Linked DNA regions of Canis lupus familiaris. The protein of the gene in region 3 interacts with the protein of the main gene of each other region in a pairwise test. Links are inferred from orthologs where the notes say so. Each region holds a gene or a part of one and is shown on either strand. Other genes may lie near its edges.

Region 1 (3,648 bases), on a different chromosome or scaffold from region 3:
TTCTATAATCTACCAGCACAGGCTACAAAAAAGAACCATAAGGTGCTGTGCTGCCCGACGTCCCTGGATGTGGCCTGTGTGTGATGGCACTGACAAGCAGCTCCCCATGCCCCGGTACCTCGCTTCTGGATGAAGACCCGGAGCAGAGGGTTTGCGCTTGAGACCGCCTTGCAAAAGTTGTCATCGTTGTTGATGGGCAGCAGGTCCCCGTGCACATCTGCATAGCCGATGGTCACATCTGTGTTGGCGATGTGGTGCGTGTGCACGACCAGCTTGTAGAAGTCTTCAAACTTCCCAGGCTTGTGCCGGTCCAAGGAGAACCTTCGGAACTCAGCCCCAAACTAAAACACAAGAGACAAGGTGTAAATGAGTAGCTTGTTCACTTAATGACAGGTGTGTGCCATCCTCCGTGAGGCCCAGGGACCAGCGGGGGTAGCTTGTGCAAAGTCAAAAGTGTGCAAGATTGTTTCTGTCACCTCTGACCCACATCCTGAGGACAGGACGGGTGCTAGAGCTCAGGCTGTCGAAGAAAAGCCCTGTTGAAATTAATTACAATGGGGATCCCTGAGTGGCTCAGCGGTTTGGTGCCTGCCTTTGGCCCAGGGCGCGATCCTGGAGTCCCGGGATCGAGTTCCGTGTCGGGCTCCCAGCATGGAGCCTGCTTCTCCCTCTGCCTGTGTCTCTGCCTCTCTCTCTCTCTCTCTCTCTCTCTCTATCATGAATAAATAAATAAAATCTTTTTGAAAAAAAGAAATTAATTACAGGGATGGTGGATGAGATGAACTGATTTGATATGATTTGCATTTCAAAAAGACCAAAGGGCTGTCCTTCCAAAGGATGGGAAGTGGAAGCAGAAGTGAAGGAAGTAAGGAAAGTGGTAAGAAGGAGGCCTCGGAAATCTCGGGAGACCTGGGTGCTGGCCAAAAACACAGAGCAGGTCTCTCTCCCTAAAAAGCTGGTATTCGCTCTGTCTGCTCTGGGGAATGCCCAGGCCCATCTTTCCTGACAGTCCCTGGCTCGGGGCCGAGAGTTATCTGCTGGGACAGGACCCTGGGTCACCTCCCACAGGCCAAAGTATCCTGGGACCCTGGCACACGGCCTGCCTGGCCTAAGGCTTTCTGGAGTTTTGCTGTTCCTCACTTGGCAAGAGAGACCTTTATTCCTCAGGCAGGACAAATGCAGCGCTCTTCAACATATCTGAAAACTAATTACAGGGGTTCCAAAATACACAAAAATGAAACGTCTGATGTTTATACTAAAAGAGTCATTACATCATCTAGATGTTATGTCAATTAGTCAAGGGCAAATCAACTCAGACCATATGGGTCTGTGTGGCTTTCCAATTGGGTGGGCATAAGAGCTACCTGAAGGCCCCAGAGGTCTGGACTTGGCTGACCTGGAGACCAGCCCGAGAATCTGCATTTTCAACAAGTTCCCAGAAGAAGCTGGTGCTGCTGGGCTGAGAACCAAACACATGAAACCTCTGATTTTAAGGCAATCTCCAAATCTCCAAGTCTGCAGATCCCTGAGAACCAGTTTCCCGATCCGTTTCCCTTTTCAAAAAGCAGAAGAAAACCAAGTCCTCAGCCATCCTGCATTGCCCCAGGGATAAAATACTTAAAGGCGCACAACAGTGAGACGTTCCAAAATACTGGTTTGAGAAAAGCCACCTTGGATGAGTAAGCAGAAGCCCCAGGGCCTCCCACACACTGGGTAAGGGGAGGAAGGCCCTGAGCTCACCAAGGCTCTGCTCATCCCTGCCGCAGCAGGAGGCGCCCTCTGAGCCCGGGCCTGTGAACACCGCACAGCAACCCCAAAATCCCTCCTGCATTATCTTCTCAGTGTTTATCCCGAGCACCATCACCTCCTGGCCCAGGGTGAGCAAACCTTTCAAGATTCAAGAGTTCACACCTACAAGATTTAAAGTGGTTTTGTTCAGATTTGGTTATGTCATCACATCATGAATATCTATTTCAACAAAAGCCATCATCTCTGCCATCTCTATCTAAGGCAAACTAACTTCTGGAGCAATTAGTTTTTACTCGTGTCCATGTTCTTTTCATTAAATACATAAAGAGAGTTGGAAGTTGGACTGTGTCCAGTGAAACAAGAAAGTGTCTCTCTTTTCCCAGGTCATTGGTGGGAGGTGATTCCAGCTGAGAGCCCCCCGGTGCGCCCCCATGAAGGGATGCCGGCTGCCCCCATCTCTGCAGGACTCAGGCCACATCCCTGGCAAGTGGTGAGTAAATGTCGCACAAGCCAGCCTGTTCTGCACAGCTTCTGCCCTGTCTTTGGTCTAAGAACCTCTCATTTCTTCTCACTGCTTCTAGTTGTTTTCTTCAAAATATGTCCTAATGTGTTGATCTGAAGTGAAAATGAATCCAGACTTCTTCCTGACAGGAGGCAAGTCTGAGTGGTGCTGATGAGGCTGACCTTGTTAATTCAGAAGGACGGCAAACACGGTTCCTATGCTGAATGGAACCCAAAGTTAGCAAAAAGAGATAGGAAAGGGGATGTTAGCATTTTCCCTATTTTTTATTGTGGCAAAATACACAAAACATAACATTTACTGTATTAACCATTCTTAAGTGTACAGTTCAGTGGCAGCAACACATTCACAGCGTTGTGCGAACATGCGCACCGTCCACGTGCCGTTTCCTCCTGTGAAGCTGAGTCTGTCCCGTCAGAAATGGATGCTGGGCCCTGTCCCTAGCCCTGTCCCCAGCACCATCCCCAGCACCATCCCCAGCCCCGTCTCCTGCCATGGCTCTAGGACCATGACACCTCCAACTCCTTCAAACAACTGCAATCCTATAGTTTTGTCTTTTTGTGATGGGCTTGTTTCCCTCATCAGACACATGATTTGAAACACTGTGTCTGTTCTGCTGGTTGCTCTACTCTTTGGATCTTAGTCCTTCTGAGGGAAACGTGATGGCTGTGGTTGGGGTGCAAGGAGAAGGAAGTGGATGGTCTCTCACTTGCCCGCTGACCTAGAGCACCAGCCATAAGAGCTTTTCTCAAAACTCTCCTCAGTGAGAACTGAGCTTTGAAGTGGTAACTGATTTGGAGTGAGGGGCTGGGTCTCCCCAGAGCAGCCCCCACTGTGGAATCCTGCTGGTTTGCAGGGACAAACGTGGGACAGCCTGCAAGTGACATGCACTCATCACTTGCCACCTTCCCTGGGGACCAAACGCCTGCGGGGGTCTCCGACCTTTCAGGCTGGTCTCCAGCCAACTCTGATGCTGGTTCAGGCATTGTCCTAGGCATCCCTCTACACAAACGCAGTTGTCTTCAAATGCCACATGCCTCCTAAAGAATTTTGAAAACTACCACTATAAAAAGGATAATATATTTTTAAGCTAGCATCTACATTTTTCATAATAAAATATAATAAAATATTTCAAAGTAAAAAAATATTTCAAAGTAAATAGGATATAATTTCTAGAGATGCCTGGTGGCTCAGTGGTTGAGCATCTGCCTTCGGCTCAGGTTGTGATCCCAGGGTCCAGGGATCGAGTCCCACATCGGGCTTCCCATAGGGAGCCTGCTTCTCTGCCTATGTCTCTGCCTCTCTCTGTGTGTCTCTCATGAATAAATTAATAAAATCTTGTTTTTTAAAGGATACAATTTCTAGCATACTGTAAACAT
Region 2 (3,594 bases), on a different chromosome or scaffold from region 3:
AGCCTGCTTCTCCCTCTGCCTGTGTCTGCCTCTCTCTCTCTCTGTCTCATGAATAAATAAATAAAATTGTTAAAAAAAAAAAAAAAGAAGAAGAAGAAGAAGCCTTGCCTCACCTGGCAAGCCAGGTTAGGCTCCTACCCCACTGCTCTTGGCTCCTTTTGTAATAACTTGTTTGCAGTTGCTAATTGCCATCTCCTCTTGTCACTGTAAGTAAGCACCATGAAAGCAAGCACCCACCTTAACTCTTTTGTTTGCTGAATCTGCAGCGTAGAACACAAAGCTTGGCCTCATTGCAATGATTCTGAAATGTTTAGTGATTGGTTATTCTTATATTAGGAAGGGGAGGGATTTGCTTAGTTTGAATATTGCTTTAGGTGATGTTTAATCCATTAAAAGTTGCCAGATCTAGTTCATTTAACCATTTTGGATTAGAACAAGGGTTGGCAAACAAGGCTTGCTGGTTGTTTTTGTAAATAAAGTTTTCTTGGAACATAGCCATGCTCATTCCTTTATGTATTGGCTATGGCTGGTCTTGGAGCAGCAACTGTATGACCTGTAGTACCTAAAGTACTTACATACAGCTCTTCAGGGGAGAAGGTTGTCAACCTTGGAATAGAAGAATTACAAAAATTACTTCATTCTTCCCTGTCTTCTCACTGAACTTCAAATGGGTCATAATCTTGAACTTTCTTGATGACCCTACCATGAACTGTTACTGTTTTGTTACTGTACACGGATGATGATGGGGATTATTTGAGGGTTTGGGTTTTGGTTTTTTCTCTCCGCTCCCCCCCCCCCCCATGTTTGCTTTAACACTGTAGGCTTTTATTTTGTGTATCTGTGCCTACCACTACTAGACCCTGACCCCCCTGCTCTGAATCTGTGACTTGGAACTCTGGGAGTTAAGGAATGAGATAACCAGGCTTTTCGGAATTAACTGTTTAAAGAGTAAGAGGTCTAGAGGGAGTACCCACAAGGTCCCTCTATAAGTAAAGCACAGGACTGTGCTTTCTGCATGTAAGGAAGTGAAACATGCAGTTTGGCTACTCAGAGGCATTCCAAGTGGATCCTTGTTGATTGTAGTCAGCCGAGATTGTGGCTGAGGGACAGGCTTGGGATGAGGGAGGGATTGCTGTATAAGCCTGTATCATGTTCTGTTGCATAAGCCTGGGTTTTTACAGCAGGGAGGTTGCTGTGAACCCGGTTTGCAAACTTTCCATCTTATTCTCAGCTTAGTGCTTTGATACACAGACTCAGGTAGAAAGTGAACTCCTGGTTCCCTGTGGACAGTCACCTTTACACTTTAACACTCTGCACCCTGGCTTTCTGCCAAAATATTTCTTTTCCCAGTGGCTGGAAACTGATTAGCTAGATGGGAGAACAAAGGTGCCTTTGTACTGGGGCATATTGCTTTTGAGAATTTAGCAGAGAGCATTCAAACAGTCTGGATGCGATGCCAAATTATGCAGATTTGGGGTGGTTTTCTCTTTTTTTTTCATCGGGTTTCCCATGCAGGCAACTTAATTTTGTTCTCAGTGTGTATGGTCTCGAATTTTCCTTATAAATATTATGTGAGTTTTCTTAATTGTTTTAAAATGAAAACATATACTTTTGAGAAAATACATTAAGTAGAAGACTACCATTGATAGGCTCTTGGTTAAATGTTGCCAAAAAGATTCTCCTGTCAGTGGGTTAATTTCCAAAGCCGAATTATAAATAAATTTGTCTCTGAGAACACAGTGTACATACTTTATAAATGAAGACAGTTATCCCCAGAAGGGAAAAATGCCAAAAATTAAGGTACCCTTAGTCTTGTATGTTTCTCTGCAACATTTTGAAGAATGTTAAAGAAGCACAGAAAAAATACCAAGGTTCTCCATACTCAGTCACACACCTGACACTTAATACTCGTTTGTACATGGGTAAGGTATTGGCCCACCAAGAAAATTAAGATCCAGTCTTTTCTCTGTATTTTGTACTCTTAATCATTATTTTGTACCCTTAATTTCCTGGTTTAGAGAGGAAAGATGATTATAATTGTCAATAGAGTGTGAGAGTCAAGGGAAAGCATGTAAACTGAACCCTGTCCAACCACAGTTCAGTTTGAGAGTACTGTTGTCTGGAGCAGTAGCTGAGACTAGGGTTTTGAATTAGCTCCTTGTGGGAGGGGGCTTTTGTCTCCTTTGTTCTTATGAAATATATTTTTACCCTTGAAGATTCTGACTTTTAAGTTTCTTCTTTGTTATATTTGAAACATAATTTCAAGTTTTATGCCTGATGATTTCATTTCCTTTTCTACCTCTCATTCTCTGATGAGGTGTTTTGTTTGTAGGTCTTTTCCTGCAGCAGTGTGATTTAAGAATGTGTATCTGGGTTTAGATGCCCAGTTTTCCCTTAGTTTACATCAGAGATTATAGACTGCTGGCTGGAAGAATGAATTCAACTCACAGATGTTATTTGACTCAAACTGGGTTTTGTTGTTATTTAATTGGGTGTCAGCATTTAAAAATGAGAAAATTTTCACTTAAAAAACAAGGCTCCGTGGCAAATTGGATTTGGCCACACAGATTGCTATAGACGAAGAAAGACTGCCAGGAGCAAGGGGCCACTGTGCCGTTCCAGGAGGCCAGGGCGCTCCAGTTTGCCAGTCCTCCCACTCTGTGTTGTCTGCGCTGCCGCCACTACTGCCGAGACAGATTCCTTTGCATTTCATTGTTTTTCACACAGTAAAGAAAAAAGTTTTCCAAAGTAAGGAAATGAAAATGAAGAACTCCCCCCAGAAAATTGAGAGGAGAACATTTATTTGCAGAAAACCAAAATTTCCTAAGTTCTAGATATACATTCATCTAATTACATTGCATACTGTTTCATTTAATTACATTATCTGCCCAGCTAGCCTGTGGTGTAGGTTCGTTCTCTTGATTTACCTTGGGAATCATAAGTGTCCCATTTTAGATCATTGAGTAAGAGATAGACAGCCAGCCTGGAGTTTCTTAAAAAACAAATGAAGGGAAAATACATTTTAAGTAACTCATTTGAAATGATGTTTCAGAATGCGTTCGTAAGGCTTATCAGAATTTCATTTTCCCCTCAATTTTATTTAATCATCCTTGAGGTTTATCAAATTCAGCATTTGGGATTTTATGACGTGTGCTTGAGAGGGCCCCCTAGTGGTTGTGTGTTAGTTCAGCAAATCTAACTACTGCACTATATTTTGATGATTAAAAACAAGCTAATATTTAAATTGTTTATGTACCAACACATGTGAGTTATCCCTTCTATATAGATTCAACTGTGGTTAAATGGGTGTTTTTACAGCATTTCTGTAATTTTATTTTATTTTATTTTTAAACAGAAGAAGCAGACTACAGTGCCTTTGGTACAGACACACTAATAAAGAAGAAAAATGTTTTGACCAATGTATTACGTCCTGACAACCACAGAAAAAAGCCACATATAGTCATTAGTATGCCCCAAGACTTCAGACCTGTGTCTTCTATCATAGACGTGGATATTCTCCCAGAAACACATCGTAGGGTTCGTCTTTACAAATACGGCACTGAGAAACCTTTAGGATTCTACATCCGGGATGGC
Region 3 (4,304 bases):
ATCTGAAAGAAAAACTTTTTTCAAATGCAGATTGACCCTACATTTCTTGATATAAAGGATTTTTCTATTTAAAAATGAGGTAGGTGTTCTAGTTAGCCAACCTGTTTATTAGCTATCCTCATTGGTGACTCATTTTAGTTTCATCTGTAGTAATGAGCAGCTGACTATGTAATATCAAAACCACCAGTTTAGACTATTGTTAATAAACATATAATCTTAACATCTAATTTCAGGGGACAGAAATTGGAACAATTTAGAGAGTGCTGATGTTGTCTTTAAATGAGGCTTGAAATGAAGGCACTATTAGAAAGCTTTCAACGAATAAAAAGCAATAAAGGTCAAGGGCTAGATTCTTTCATTCCTTAGCAAAAATTCACAGATGTTAAAAAACAAAATGTTAACTTGAGAATGTCTTAGAAAAATTTTAGTCAGGCACTAAAAGTATATGCCCTCTTCTATTTTCTTTTATAACAATAATTATAGTAATAAGCCAAGAAAATTTGACACCTAACATTCCTTAAATATATTTTTATTTCTTTCTAAAGAAGTTTATAATGATTTTAATTTACTAACTAGGCCTTTTTAGATTTGTCAAACGAATAAAAACAGGAGAAAGAAACCTAATTCCTTCCTCTTCATATTTAAAGTCATCGGAAACTATTTAAATTTAATAAGCCAAGAATTTGCATTGTTTAAAGTCATAAATGCAGACCAGAGAACTGAAAATAATAGCTTAAGAATCAAAAATTGAAAAGCACCAACCAGGAGAAGGACAAGCAAAAGGTAGCATTCACCCAATTTCTCATCTTTCAGTGGAAGGAACCAATAGGTACCACCTAAAGTTGAATCATGAAAGAGAATAAGGTAATAAAGAATAAAGGCAAACCTCCAGAAGAACAGAAATAAACTGTTAACAGTCTACCTCTGGAAGTGGGGAGGATGAGATGGAAGACACTTTTTTTTTTTTTTTTTTAAGATTTTATTTGTCAATTCATGAGAGACACAGAGAGAGGCTGAGATACAGGCAGAGGGAGAAGCAGGCTCCCTTCGGGGAGTCTAATGCAGGACTCCATCCCAGGACCCCAGGGTCACGTCCTGAGCAAAAGGCAGAAGCTCAACCACTGAGCCACCCAGGTGCCACGAGAGACACTCACCTTATACCTCTGTACAATTTGCACATTCCTACCATGTGAGTATATTCATTTTTAATCCCGTTTTTTTTAACTGTCAATAATGAAACACTTAAAAAAAAAAACACATACTATATATTTCATTCTCTTTGCCTAACAGCTCATGGACTGTCAATTTTATAAAATGGCAACTGAATTAATCTCTTAATTAAAGGTAAGGTAAAGGAAGCAAAGCTTTTTTCCCCCACAGTGCAAAGTTCATTGACCATATTCATGTCAAAACTGCGCTTGTGACCACTACAAACTTAAAAAAAAAAAAAACCATACACACACTTCTTAGTATTGTTTTTAAAATGAAGACCTCCTTGATCAATTTAAGCAAAAACGCGGATACTGTCCAAAATAATTCTTGTAAACTATGCTGAATAGGCTAACAAACAAGAGGTCAGCGGCTACACAGCAGCGAGTGATTAAGTGGTTACATCAAATCAATAAGACGTTTGACGGCTCCTATTTCCTTTAAAATCAAAACAAGAGAGGTGTTTTGAAAGTTTGCTATCTTCACTGATCCTCTCAGGAATGTACAAGTATGCACTGCAGTCTCAACCTCCTAGTGCTTGAGGGTTTTTTTTTTTTCTTTTTTTCTTTCTTCTTTTTTTTTTTTTTTTTTTTGAGCAATTTACTTCTGCTTGGACAAACAGTAAGACAGGCCAAAGCCATTGGCTTTGCTGTTAACCCTTTGCCTCAAATCTTGGCCTTCACACGACCATTTCACCTTTCTAATGCTACTAAAGGTAATCATCTCAAATTTCAAAACGCAACTGAAAACAAGGGAAGGGGGATACTCCAGGTCACTGATTACAGGGTATGATCTGATACAACAGTATTAGCACTAGGTCCCTCCTGGTAAGCACAGGAGCTCTAAGTTGGGGAATCTGAGTACATAGCACAGATTTTAAAACCACGCCTCGGTTCGCCCCCCTCTCTCCTTGCAGCGTCTCCCCCTGTCCAGTAAGTGGTCCCTGAGCCAACACTGACAAAGGAGCGTTCACAAATTTTTAATTCGCACCTATACGACCTGCTCTTGGCGAGACCTGAGTGCCTAATGCACGGCCCTAAAAAGGCAGCAACTTTACCCGTGAGCAGTAACTCCGCGTCTCCGAGGGAGGCAGGCAGGCAGCCGGGCGGGCTCAGAGCAGCGCGCCGACTCCTCTGCGCCGCGAAGGTGGGGCGGCCCCGGAGCAGCCGAGGCTTCGGGCCTTGGGCTGCTGGCGGAGCCGGCGGACTACGGGAGTCCTGGCTTTTCAGCCCGCGGCCACCTTAGCTCGCCCAGGCGCCCCTCGGAACCAGCCCTGAACCCCACACGCACTCGGGCTCAAGGGCGCAAAGCCCCCGCGCGCCTCTTGGCAGGCGGCGGGTCTCGAAGCCACCAGGTGGACCCTCTCCATGCCCAGGCTCCGCCCTGGGACCCTCGCCGGACCCGGGCCGGACCCGGCTGCACCCGGGCGCCCCAGCGCCACCCCGCGACCGCTCGGCGCCCCCCGCCCCGCGCTGCCCTCCCCGCCTCCCGGGACACTCACCCGCGGTAGTAGGCTTTCACCCGGACCTGGTGGGAATGGTCCCCGCTGCCGCCGCCCGCGATCGCGTGAGACATGGCACTGCTGTCCCTCTGGGTCGGCATCTCCCTGCTCCCCCGCCCCAGCGCGGAGGCCGAGGCTGCGGGGGGCGCGCCGGGCGCCGGGGGCGGCGGGGGCGGGGGCGGGCGCGCTCCGCTGCAGAGTCTCCCGCTCGGCCTCCCGCTCGGCCTCCCGCTCGGCCTCCCGCACGGCCTCCCGCTCGGCCACCTGCGCGGTCCGCCCGACCCGAGGGGCGCCTGGCCGGGGCAGCCGGAACCGCGCGGCTCCTCCCGCCGGGCCCAGCACGCCTCCCCTCCGGGCCCTCCCACCTCGCCCGCTCCAAAGGCGCACATTCCGGGGGAGGGCGGGCGCGACCATCCGAGCATCTCCAGGAGCCTCGACGCCGGGCCGAACCATCCTCACGGGGGCCGCGGAGAGGGGGGCGGGAGGATGGCGGCGCCGGGTGGCACATCGGTGGGCCGGGGAGGGGCCTCCGCGGCCCCCGCGACTGAGGGAAGGCCAGAGCTGTCCGCGAAGGGCGCCCTCCCCACGGGGGACACGGGCGGGGGCCCGGGCTGCGGCATCTCACCCCGCGGCCTGACTTGGTCCCGCCCGCCGCCGGCCCGAGCGGGGCTGGGCCGGGTTTCTGGGATTTGCAGTCCCGGTGGGAGGCCGGGCCTGGAGGCTCTCGGCGTCGGAACCCGGCCTCCCCCGCGCAGCCGCCCGAGTCCGAGCCCCGCGTGCGCGCCCCCCGCAGCCTCGGCCAGGGGCTCGCCCGCCTGGAACCCCGGCTGCAGCGTGGGCACCTGAGGTCGCGGCGAGCGGTTGGGCTTCGTCCCCATCTCTACAGTGGGTTCCCCGATGCAGTCCCCCTTCCAGCTGCATGCACCAGCTCCAGTGCACGGTGCCTTTTTTGGAGGACGAGACGCTGGTCAACCGGCTGGGCACACGCTCTTTTATGGAAAGACTTTAATAACATATGTAACAAATGTAGTAAAGGAGGAAACTCAGCTAGAAGGTGTGGAAGACCGGCATTGCCTCCTTTGCAGCCCCCCCCCCCCCCCCCCACCGCACCTTGGCCCTGGTATATCGCCATCGCCTGGCACAGGTGCACAGTGGTTATCCGAGCCATCCATCAGCACTATTTTTTTTTTTCTATTCTTTTCTATCACTGGCTAGCCAAAGATGACAGTATAAAGGATCCGTCTTTGTAGCTTAGTCTCTGATCTTCCATTGATCTTGGCTCTGGCACATAGTGCAACTACAAGGAGCAATGAATCCAGCTCCGGCTTTGGTCCTGGCACCAGCACATGCTAAAAAAGGTTGAAATAATCAAGACTATAACCTGCTTTACTGTGATAAAATAGGGCTGGAGGATTGACTCATCAGAGTTATGTCTGACACTTCGTCTGCGGTGATGTCCTTTAACTGCTACAAACGTGGATTATAGACTCCTAATAAAAACTGTTGAAAGACCTTGGTATCAGAGTTTTGAGAACTCGGGACTTACATCCACATGTTAAATATGAATCAATTAGCTGTGGAATATAAACTATTT

The links.
Region 1: the proteins of PRKCI (region 3) and PARD6G interact in binary tests that used the Homo sapiens proteins (3 or more experiments, as listed by UniProt). The link is inferred for Canis lupus familiaris from reciprocal best matches to the Homo sapiens genes PRKCI and PARD6G.
Region 2: the proteins of PRKCI (region 3) and PARD6B interact in binary tests that used the Homo sapiens proteins (3 or more experiments, as listed by UniProt). The link is inferred for Canis lupus familiaris from reciprocal best matches to the Homo sapiens genes PRKCI and PARD6B.

What each region holds. Positions count from the first base shown.
Region 1 is NC_049222.1:475,488-479,135, reverse strand, and holds part of PARD6G (partitioning defective 6 homolog gamma), read right to left. Parts: intron 342-3,648; coding exon 119-341; intron 1-118. UniProt on the Homo sapiens protein: Adapter protein involved in asymmetrical cell division and cell polarization processes. May play a role in the formation of epithelial tight junctions. The PARD6-PARD3 complex links GTP-bound Rho small GTPases to atypical protein kinase C proteins.
Region 2 is NC_049245.1:37,740,357-37,743,950, forward strand, and holds part of PARD6B (partitioning defective 6 homolog beta), read left to right. Parts: intron 1-3,355; coding exon 3,356-3,594. UniProt on the Homo sapiens protein: Adapter protein involved in asymmetrical cell division and cell polarization processes. Probably involved in formation of epithelial tight junctions.
Region 3 is NC_049255.1:35,023,515-35,027,818, reverse strand, and holds the start of PRKCI (protein kinase C iota type), read right to left. Parts: upstream 2,812-4,304; coding exon 2,711-2,811; intron 2,553-2,710; exon of another isoform or gene 2,267-2,552; intron 1-2,266.